Linked DNA regions of Arabidopsis thaliana. The protein of the gene in region 1 interacts with the protein of each later gene in a pairwise test. Each region holds a gene or a part of one and is shown in the gene's direction. Other genes may lie near its edges. The genes, in order: CRK2 and MLO9.

Evidence for each region.
Region 2: the proteins of CRK2 (region 1) and MLO9 interact in a protein complementation assay, tested with the Arabidopsis thaliana proteins (one large-scale study listed by BioGRID).

Annotation. Positions count from the first base shown.
Region 1 is NC_003070.9:26,584,192-26,589,627, reverse strand, and holds CRK2 (cysteine-rich RLK (RECEPTOR-like protein kinase) 2), read left to right. Parts: upstream 1-1,999; 5' UTR 2,000-2,293; coding exon 2,294-3,062; intron 3,063-3,136; coding exon 3,137-3,250; intron 3,251-3,331; coding exon 3,332-3,471; intron 3,472-3,558; coding exon 3,559-3,769; intron 3,770-3,863; coding exon 3,864-4,098; intron 4,099-4,180; coding exon 4,181-4,331; intron 4,332-4,410; coding exon 4,411-4,740; 3' UTR 4,741-4,899; downstream 4,900-5,436. Other genes in the region: CRK3 (cysteine-rich RLK (RECEPTOR-like protein kinase) 3), read left to right, coding at 1-226, 316-460, 546-878.
Region 2 is NC_003070.9:15,979,564-15,985,800, reverse strand, and holds MLO9 (Seven transmembrane MLO family protein), read left to right. Parts: upstream 1-2,229; 5' UTR 2,230-2,472; coding exon 2,473-2,613; intron 2,614-2,705; coding exon 2,706-2,763; intron 2,764-3,243; coding exon 3,244-3,473; intron 3,474-3,546; coding exon 3,547-3,663; intron 3,664-3,746; coding exon 3,747-3,804; intron 3,805-3,901; coding exon 3,902-3,990; intron 3,991-4,070; coding exon 4,071-4,145; intron 4,146-4,221; coding exon 4,222-4,310; intron 4,311-4,389; coding exon 4,390-4,439; intron 4,440-4,526; coding exon 4,527-4,567; intron 4,568-4,660; coding exon 4,661-4,834; coding exon of another isoform or gene 4,835-4,858; exon of another isoform or gene 4,859-4,899; intron 4,900-5,047; coding exon 5,048-5,083; intron 5,084-5,182; coding exon 5,183-5,250; intron 5,251-5,336; coding exon 5,337-5,397; intron 5,398-5,496; coding exon 5,497-5,592; 3' UTR 5,593-5,666; downstream 5,667-6,237. Other genes in the region: PMI1 (plastid movement impaired1), read right to left, coding at 6,067-6,237.

The DNA of each region.
Region 1 (5,436 bases):
ATGTTCAACCGTTGAATTGGGCAAAGAGATTCAAGATTATACTTGGTACAGCAGAAGGAATGGCGTATCTTCACGAGGAGTCAAATCTTAGAATCATACATAGAGATATTAAGCTGAGTAATATCCTTTTGGAAGATGATTTTACTCCAAGAATTGCTGATTTTGGATTGGCTAGATTGTTCCCAGAGGACAAGACTCATATCAGCACTGCCATCGCCGGTACACTGTAAAGTCTCAAAACTTATCTTTGTAACTTTAATATCTCTCTCTACCGTTTCTTGTGTTGTTTCTGAAGATTCTTACTTGTGGAAACAGAGGCTACATGGCACCAGAATATGTAGTACGAGGAAAACTAACTGAGAAAGCAGACGTTTATAGTTTTGGAGTTCTTATGATTGAAGTTATAACCGGAAAACGTAACAATGCCTTCGTACAAGACGCTGGTTCGATCCTACAATCGGTAAACTAACTCTCTACAAGTAGTTCAAACATTTTCTTGATTTTAGATCAAATCCTTTTTCTTGAATCTTGAAAACATATTTTAGGTATGGAGTCTGTACAGAACAAGCAATGTGGAAGAGGCAGTGGATCCAATCTTAGGTGATAACTTCAACAAGATAGAAGCGTCACGGCTACTTCAAATTGGGCTTCTCTGTGTTCAAGCAGCGTTTGATCAGCGGCCTGCGATGTCTGTGGTTGTGAAAATGATGAAAGGGAGTTTGGAGATTCATACGCCGACGCAACCACCGTTTCTGAATCCAGGAAGTGTAGTAGAGATGAGAAAGATGATGATGACTCCCACGACGAATCAGTCTAATTCTTCAGGATCAAGGAGTGACTACATAACCGAGGGTTCGAGTTTCTTTGAACCTAGATGAGGTTTTAGATCGTGTTAGATATATCAGTATCCTTTCGTGTGGATTCTGAATCATCTTGTGTCATATGTACAAAAATTGAGATGCCAATTAATCGTGTGTTAGCTAGGAACTGAGGGTTACTTATGTGCCACGACAATGTCATAGAAGCTAGGAAGTGAACAATGTAGAGCTTACATGACGGGGACAGATTCCGGTTTAGCCTCGGTTTTGATTGTAGTGATTCGGTTTACGGTTCAGTAGTTTTATTTTGTGTGTTAATTTTGAGTAGCTTTGTATATTAGTAAGCGGTTTTTGTGTTTGTTCTCGTTTTAACTTTACAAAAAGAGAAAGAGTAAATGTCATATTTAAATAGAAAAATGCAACCACAAATGCAAAGAAATTCGAGTAAAACCAAATAATGCCATAAGGATATTTACCTAAGAATCAAAATATGAAACATATTAAATGTACACAAGAAAAAAATCAAATCACTAAAAATTCACTAAATTTATTACCGCAAAGTTTGGATCATGATCTCCTAATTTTTGCACAAGTGGATTCGAATCAAGGACTTTTTATCAGTGTTTTTGTTTTCTTTCAAGGAAGCCATAGGAGACTACTAGATAGAAACACATATACTACATATGTCTTTATTATAGCCAACTAGATTTAACATTTTTAGAATTGAATGTCCAACTACTTCTCATTTTTCTTTGCAATTGATCTTGAATAAAACTTTGACCATGGCAACATGTAAATGGTATTTTGTTATATATATTTTTATTATTTGTACAACTTTTATTGTACTATACCAACTAGGCCTACTAAATCAACCCAACAAATTGACAAAAAAAAAATCAACCCAACAAACCTATTTCTTTATTTAAAGTAGTCTAACGTCACTTTATCCATTTTCTTGAATGTCATCTTACTAAACACTACGCATATGTGACGTTTTCTTTTTTCTTTAACTAATCAGAAAATTGAATTTTTCATGATACCGGTAAAGAGATTTATCCAATTAAACCGAACCGGCTCCACATAAGATAAGCTCTATTAATTATTAGTCCACTGGTTTTTAGGTTTATGAAAACGACAAATATTTGAATGAAGACAACGACTTCAACAACATGATCGAGCTGGTTTGGTTTCCAAGTGTGAATTCAAGACTAAGAAGAAATCCAACAATCTCCATTATCAATTTTTTTTATTAACTTTTTGACTAAACCAGTAGAGAGAGAGAGAGAAAGACAGCAAATTTGGTTGACTCTAACAAACCAATATCATCAAAGTCAAGCAGTTGAAAATTCTTCAATTTCATCATCTCCAATTCTTAATCTCTCTGCTTCTTCTTTCTTCACAACTTGAAACAGAACACAAAACCCTTGATGAGGGAATAAAAAAAGGAGATCTCTTTCTCAATCAAACAAAACAAAATGAAGAAAGAACCTGTCCATATCCTTCCTCTGTACCTTCCATGTCTCTTGATGTTTCTTCTTTCATCACTCCGTCAAATCACCGGAGACGCAAGGGCTAGAGCCGTTAAAGTCACTTGCTCACCTTTGCTTGAGCACAACGAAACCGCTTATGTCCCAAATTTCGTAGCCACAATGGAGAAAATCAGCACACAAGTACAAACTTCCGGTTTTGGAGTTGCTCTCACCGGTACAGGACCAGACGCTAACTATGGTCTTGCGCAGTGCTATGGTGATCTTCCTTTAAACGATTGTGTACTCTGTTACGCGGAAGCAAGGACGATGCTTCCGCAGTGTTATCCTCAGAACGGAGGTAGAATCTTTCTTGATGGATGTTTTATGAGAGCTGAGAATTATAGTTTCTATAATGAATACAAAGGACCTGAAGATAGCATCGTATGTGGAAACACGACGAGAAAGAATAAGACTTTTGGTGATGCGGTGAGACAAGGGCTGAGAAATGCTGTTACTGAGGCTTCTGGGACTGGAGGGTACGCTCGTGCGTCTGCAAAGGCGGGTGAATCTGAATCTGAATCAGCGTTTGTGTTGGCGAATTGTTGGAGAACTTTGAGTCCTGATTCTTGTAAACAGTGTTTGGAGAATGCCTCTGCTTCTGTGGTTAAAGGATGTTTGCCATGGTCAGAAGGACGTGCGCTTCACACTGGATGTTTCCTTCGGTACTCTGATCAAGATTTCTTGAATAAGATACCAAGAAACGGAAGATCAAGAGGTAACACAATAAAAAGATTCATGCTTTCTATAGAATCTCATTCGCTTGATGGTCATAAGTAATTGTTTTTGCAGGCTCTGTGGTAGTGATTGTGGTGTCAGTACTTAGCTCTGTGGTTGTCTTCATGATTGGAGTAGCAGTAAGTGTTTATATCTGCAAACGTCGGACCATAAAGAGGAAGAGAAGAGGTAAGATTAGTTTCTTGATTTGTGATGAATTGGTTTAAGAAGGATTGAGTGTTTTTAACCGAGATCTTTGGTGCTTAACAGGATCAAAAGATGTTGAGAAAATGGCGAAAACACTAAAAGACAGTAGCTTGAATTTCAAATACTCAACACTAGAGAAAGCCACAGGTTCTTTTGACAACGCGAACAAGCTTGGACAAGGCGGATTTGGAACTGTCTATAAGGTATGTGTGTGTATGATCATGTCTCTCTTTCTATACCTTCCTGTAAAGCAAATGAGTGATATAGTGGTATCTCTCTGGCTTGTTTAGGGGGTTCTTCCAGACGGAAGAGATATCGCTGTGAAGCGGTTATTCTTTAACAACAGACATAGAGCAACCGATTTCTACAATGAAGTCAACATGATCAGCACTGTTGAACATAAGAACCTTGTTAGGCTGCTTGGTTGCAGCTGCTCAGGACCAGAGAGTCTCCTTGTCTATGAATACCTTCAGAACAAGAGCCTTGATCGATTCATCTTTGGTAACTACTACTAATAATACTATATGATGAGTTTTTATTGTTGAATCTTGAATGCAGCAGCACACTAAACCTGTCTTCATTATTACTTTTGCAGACGTGAACAGAGGGAAAACATTAGACTGGCAGAGAAGATACACGATCATCGTTGGAACCGCTGAAGGATTGGTGTATCTGCATGAGCAGTCGTCTGTGAAAATTATTCACAGAGACATAAAAGCAAGTAATATTCTGCTAGATTCAAAGCTTCAAGCTAAAATCGCCGATTTTGGTCTGGCGAGATCATTCCAGGACGATAAGAGCCATATTAGCACTGCCATTGCAGGGACCTTGTAAGTATATATTCAGAAAAATGTACCATTTCTTCAAAAAGATATGAATGTTTGAGCTGATCCAATACTTGTGAAACTGCAGAGGTTATATGGCTCCGGAGTACTTAGCACATGGTCAGCTAACAGAGATGGTAGACGTTTACAGCTTTGGAGTTCTTGTACTAGAGATTGTAACTGGAAAACAGAACACCAAAAGCAAAATGTCAGATTACTCAGACAGTTTGATCACAGAGGTAAGTTAGACATATTTTGTCTATGGGTCTGCAGGTTTCACTTCTCAAACTAATTGTGGTGTTATGTTTTTTATTGAAGGCATGGAAGCATTTTCAGTCAGGAGAGTTGGAGAAAATATATGATCCAAACCTCGATTGGAAGAGTCAGTATGACAGTCACATCATCAAGAAAGAGATAGCAAGAGTTGTTCAAATAGGGCTATTGTGCACTCAAGAGATCCCTTCGCTAAGACCACCGATGTCTAAGTTATTACATATGCTAAAGAACAAAGAGGAGGTCTTGCCATTGCCGAGTAATCCTCCGTTTATGGATGAAAGAGTCATGGAACTTCGAGATGGTTCTGATGGTGATTCAGCTGGTTGTGCATCTCTTGCCACTGTCTCACAAAGTTCCTTTTATGGTAGATGAGCTTTGAAGAAGTGTATAAGAAGAAGAGAATACAAAATCTTTGATCTTTGAGCAGAAACTAAAATTTTGTGTATAAACCAGTGAGAGAAGCTAGATAGTATAGGTAAGTTATATCTTATGTATCATACTTGATAACAAAAAAAAAGTACTCAATAATTCAAGCTCTAGGTGCGATTTCTTCAACCAACCCATAGCTTCAAACATTTATCTTTAATAGTTTGCAAGCTTATAAACGGACTTGCGAGTTTGCAAGAGAGAAGACAACAGAAACAAAGAATGAAATGTCTGAGAATTTCCCAACATATGCCATCTTCAAAAAAATGTTATCCTCATCCACACCAGACTTGCAAACATATAAGATTGGTGGTTCAATGCAGCAGTTTAAGGTAGGTACTCGAGCTCAAGCTTTGTTGTTGTTTGTGCTCCTGCTTTCTTGTTGTGATCTCAGAACCAGGCTGCTTCTATCTGGACACATAGATCAGAACTTAGAAACTATGTGCTCCTGCTTTCTTGTACGGGATCTCAGAACCAGGCGGGCTTCTCTCTGGACAAATAGAGCAGCATTGGTAGGTTGATGTCAACGTGTGTTGTATTTGTCAAGTCCTCAGAAACTGGCTTCTGCTCCACAAACCAAGACTACCTGTAGCAACCACCACAACATATGTTAGGAACAGACAAATTTTTGTATACAAAGAA
Region 2 (6,237 bases), about 11 Mb from region 1:
TTGTGTAGTTGCCTAGTTGGAAGTCCTCGGTGATTTGAATTGTATTATAAACATCTTGTGTAGTTGCGTGTATTATAAGACATTGTTTTGGAATAATTTAAATTTTTGTTTCTTAAGAAACCAATAGCTCTTAACCATTGGAGTAGAAATTAGTTAAGTTTTTGTTAACTTTTCTTAACTTAGTAAAAGCAATATTTTAATTTAAAATAAGGCTAAGATTCAAAATTAAAAACCAATTGGTTCTAAACCATTGGAGTTGCTCTTATAACTCGAAATTCAAATTTTAGGGGTTTAACAACTTACAAGGTTACAAATAAAGTATCAACATTGATGGGGTTGAGGCAAGAAAAAGGAAATTGTGTGGGGCTACAACTCGACAACCCAATTAAATAAGAAAACTAGGCATGACCATTGTTACGGTTATAAAGTTTCTTTAATCGTAACCTTAACCATTATATATACGGTTAAGATGGTTATATTTAGATACAATTACGGTTGAATACGGTTACAGTTACAATGATTACGGTTAAATATGTTTATGGTTATTCGACTTTTTTATTGCTTTTAAAAATGAAAAGTATGTTTTAGATTATTTTTATATGCGATATTATTTACTTTTTTGAAATTCTTTTCCTGAACATTTGATATATATTTTTGTATTACAAATATTTAAAATTGTATTTTTACGGTTTTAACTATGTTGTTATCTATGTAGTTAATCGTACGGTTCACCGTACTTTTAACTACGAGTTTGATATGGTTACGTTTTATTGACGGGTATAGTTAGTATATTTTTTTTAACTGTAACTATTCCATTTTTATTGTCAACACTTACGGTTATTAACCGTTTTATACGGTTACAGTTTGAAAATAGTCCGGTTACGGCCCGAAATACGGTTACGGTTTAATTTTGGTCATGTCTAAAAAAAACTAACAAATATATGCTAATTTGCGGGTTAGGCAAAAATTATTTTGATCCAAAAATTTCCGAATATCCAAAAATTCGAATATCCAGATTTTTTTGTGATATTTGCGGAAATTCGCTTTGATACATCTAATTATTTTTCTCAAAAAAATTGTTTGACATGATGTCAAAATAAGTTCCAAAAAACAGAACATAACTATTTTTGATATCACTGATCAAGAAAATACCATCAAACTAATTCTAAAAACTAAGGGCATCTCCAACGCAAAAAGATGGTGTGAGTCTCTCAATTATATTTTTTAATCAGTTAATAATAAATAAATCATTTATTTAAATTTTAAATTATAAATAAAAAAATCTGACCAATCATAAAGACACAAGTATTAAAGTGGGTTTCTCATATGAGAAACGTATCTCTTTCTCTTTCCACCTTTTTCATTACTTTTTATTTTTTTAATCTTCAGTTACTCATTGAGAAACTGTTGTTGGAGATGACCTAAAACCTGATAGTTTAAGATACCACTAACATGAAAGAAAAATGATCAAACTTACATCTTAACATAAAAACACAAGATTTCCAAAGAAGAAAAATACTGAAGTTACAAATATAAACCCAAAAATATATAAATATACAAACTATATTATGATATTTATATATATACATAATTATATATTCTAATATATATATATATATATATATATAAAATACGAATCAAAGCGGATAATATTTGTTATTTGCATCGATTTTTACGAATATTATATTTTCCTATTTGATTTGCTTGAAAATCTTACGGATATTCGGATTTTTGAATCAAATCAAATAAAAAACTGAGTCGAAACGGATCTAATGAATATTTTGTTCGGGCCTAGCTCTAAAAATTGTCTCTCTTTAATATGATGCGAGTCTTCTGTAATATGATACAGATTTTTTTACTTATATCCTATTAAAATAGTATAAATTAGGCGATGGTATCACTTTTCCCACTATTTTCTACATTTTATGCAGTAAGAAATGGAACAATTCTTTGTAGTACATAAAGACGATTTGTCCAGTTTATTTTCTTCTTACTAGCATTTTAATTGCACATGCTTTTTAATTTTGCATGCTAGTTTAATTTATTAATTATTCTAACGAATACTATATATCTAGAATCCAATTGCTTAATGATGTCTATTGTAGTTTGCTAACGACGTCTCTTTAATTCTCTCATTTTTTTTCTTCTAAATTTCCTCCACCAATTATTCCGTACTCGTTCTTCTCCATACATTCCCACTTAAATAATGTGGAAACCTGTAAAATAGGGAAGACAATAAATTGATAAAAAAAACAAAATTAATATTTTTTAAAAAATAACTCACCGGATTTGTCTACACTCTTATCTACTATTTTCGCATGCTCGTCAATGGCAACATCATCCCTTTCCTTTTCATTCTCTCTATCTCTTTGACTTCATTTTTATTGTCTCTTCTCTTTTGAAATTGAAATTCTGATACCAAACACATACTAAAAAATAAAAATAAAAAGATAATCATCACGGTTTTAAGTAATGGCTGGAGGTGGTGGTGGAGGAGGTGGCGAAGGTCCAAGACAGCTAGACCAGACCCCGACTTGGGCCGTTTCTACAGTTTGTGGTGTTATCATCTTGATCTCCATTATTTTGGAACTCATCATTCACAAAGTCGGCGAGGTGATTTGATAGAGAACACCATTATACCTTATGGATGTATATATGCTTTGCATTTGCTACTTTTTTGGTTACACTTAATTCCATGCTTGTAGGTTTTCGAACGAAAGAAGAAGAAAGCTTTGTTTGAAGCTCTTGAGAAGATTAAAAATGGTAACAATATAGAAATTATTTTTTTTGGTTTCTTGAAATCAAGGAACAATTGTTTTCGTTCATATATATATATATATATATATATATATATATATATATATTTTCTTTATTAATTTAAAGACGATAATACAAATATATCAGTGAGCACACAGATTGAAGCTCTACAAACCACACAACCAATATATGAGTTTAACAAAGTAATCAAAAAAGTGAAAAACACGTTGATTTCCGTAATAGATAAGCCTCACACGCTAACAGAATAAATCAATCTGTTATTTTCTTTGACCGTCTTCGTCTTCAATCTATTTTGGTCTTCTGGTTGGAGTGCTATCTTTTCTTTTATGTAGTGAAGATGGAATTTTTCGTGTGGTTAGCGTATGGTTAGGGATGTAACTGATGGATCGTATCCCTATTATTTTCATGAAAAGTTTTGGTTCCTATATATATATATTTAACTCAAAATTATGTTACATATTGTAGAGCTTATGGTTTTGGGATTTATTTCCCTGCTTCTAACATTTGGCCAAAACTACATTGCGAGCATATGTGTTCCATCAAGATACGGCCATGCAATGTCTTTTTGTGGTCCATATGATGGACCTAGTGAAGATGATCGTAAAAAGCTCAAGAAAACAGACCATGCAATGCGTATTCTCTACTCTGTTCAACGTCGTTCTTTGGCCGACGCTCCTCCAGTAAATTGCAAGAAAGTAATATTAACTACTGTTTCAGCATAAAAGTTTTAAGTAGTTTTATTAACTTATTATTTTGTTATCGTTTCAGGATTATGTCGCACTTATATCATTAAACGCATTACATCAAGTGCATATATTCATATTCTTCTTGGCCGTGTTCCATGTTATATATAGTGCTATAACCATGATGCTTGGAAGAGCCAAGGTATATTGGTAGAAATTTTTCACATTGTATATATGTGTTGATGATGATTTTAATTGAACTAATTCGTTTTTTCGTAAACATAGATTCGTGGCTGGAAAGTATGGGAGCAAGAGGTCATCCATGAACAAGAAATGATGAATGGTAGAGTGAACTTTATATTTTGCATGGTGATCAAAATTTTACTGTCCTAGCTAATCAAAATTTTACTGTCCTTGCTATTTTTATTTTTTTAATACAGATCCATCAAGATTTAGACTCACACATGAGACATCATTTGTCCGAGAACATGTCAATTCTTGGGCTAGCAATAAATTCTTCTTCTACGTTGTACGATTTTCTTAAATTCTAAGTGTTATTCTTGCACAATTATCATCTCTAATCTAATGGAACTAGAGGTTAATTTTCAGATGTGCTTCTTCCGTCAAATACTTAGATCAGTGAGGAAGTCTGATTACTTGACAATGCGACATGGATTCATAAGTGTGAGTGCATTAATATCTTACATTAATTCTCCATTAATATCCAATTGTTTGTTGCTCTAAAACCCTATGTATTTAGGTTCATTTGGCACCTGGTATGAAGTTTGATTTTCAAAAGTACATCAAAAGATCTTTGGAAGACGACTTCAAGGTGGTTGTAGGAATAAGGTAACTCATATCCTCTTTCACATTTTTAGTCTAGTTTGCTTTATTTGTTTCTAATGAAATCTACCACTGATGATGACAGACCCGAGCTTTGGGCCTTTGTAATGTTGTTTTTACTCTTCGATGTTCACGGTTAGTCTTTAGTTTATCGTACTTCTACATTATGATATCTTGACTTACTAATAATTGATCTATATATAAAAACAAAAAACTTTATAGGATGGTATGTTACTGCCGTAATCACCATGATTCCTCCTCTAGTAAGTCATTAATTTATCTACTATACGAAGCTCATTCTTACTTCAAAAAGATTAAAGAACATTTTATGAACTAATTGTGGTTTATGTTTAAAGTTAACACTAGCCATAGGAACAAAGCTACAAGCCATTATATCGTACATGGCATTGGAGATTCAAGAGAGACATGCAGTAATTCAAGGGATGCCAGTTGTCAACGTCTCAGACCAACATTTTTGGTTTGAAAAACCCGATCTAGTACTTCATATGATCCACTTCGTTCTGTTTCAGGTGAAAATTTATATAAGTGAATGATATATGTGATGTTTTAGTGATCCGAATCCGACACCATCCGAACCAAAACCGAACCGAATAGTCGTATAATCCGAACGGATAACAAACTCCCTCATCCGAATTATCCAAACTGAATCCGAACCGAAATCCGAATGCCTAAGCCTATGATTTAGTATAATTACTGATTTTATTTTTTTGGATACTTTTCAGAATGCTTTTGAGATAACTTATTTTTTTTGGATATGGGTAAACTTTTCAGAATCTCTTCTTCTAGTTTTTACTTTATGTTGGTACTAATTGCTTCTAGAAATTTTTATAATAATGTTATAATTATTCTTGTTGCAGTATGAGTTTGGGCTAAGGTCCTGTTTTCATCACCATTTTGGCCTTATAATCATTCGTGTCTGCCTAGGGTGAGTAATAGTATTATCATAAACAATTTTTTTTACCAAGTTTTCGATCGAGTTTGTGAAAATTGAATATATGGTCTTGGCTTTAGGGTGGGAGTACAATTCCTATGCAGTTATATCACATTGCCCCTTTACGCTCTCGTCACTCAGGTATGCAACATTTATATATCTTTTTTTCTTCCTTTGAATGTTTTCATAGAGTTAGTTGTTTTATCATTGCATAATTCTTTTACAATATATATTTTATAGATGGGATCCACAATGAAGCGATCAGTGTTTGATGAGCAAACTTCAAAAGCATTAGAACAATGGCATAAGAAGGCGAGGAAAAAGAATGAAAAGTGAGAATAATTGGCTTCTCCTTTTAATCTATGGATAGACCAAATTTAACAGTCTAATAGTTTGGTTACTTAATAGTCTATACACAATTTTTGGAAAATAGGATTTAGCTATGTAATTATTATTTATTATATAAATTCCTTACGTGGGTTTAATTTTTGAGTTGATTTTTTCTCTACATGTTTATCATGTCCTATTTATAGTTTTGTACAAAATAGTTTTGGAAAGGTAGAATTTTTATGCATTTGTACACTTTAGAGTTAATATATAAAAGACTTTCTTAGAAAAGAAAACCAGAAAAAAACAATACATAACATTAGGGAAAATTAGTTGAACCAATTCCTGAAATTTAAAAATTTGGTAAAAAGACATTTGACTAATGTTTGTTGCAGGTAAAATTTGAAACTCTTAAAAAATAATATACAAAACATAAATAAACAAATGCATCTTATTGTATAGTATGAATACCTCCAAGATCAACTAATGCAATTTCACATCAGGGTTCCTTATAGATTTAAGCCACATATCCGCCATTACTCTAGATGACAAGCTCCACAACATCTCCTCTTCTTCTTCTTCCTTCTCCTTCTTCTTTATATTACTCTTCTTCTTCCCTTTCTTTCCCATTCCGTGTTCCACAAGCCATTGCGC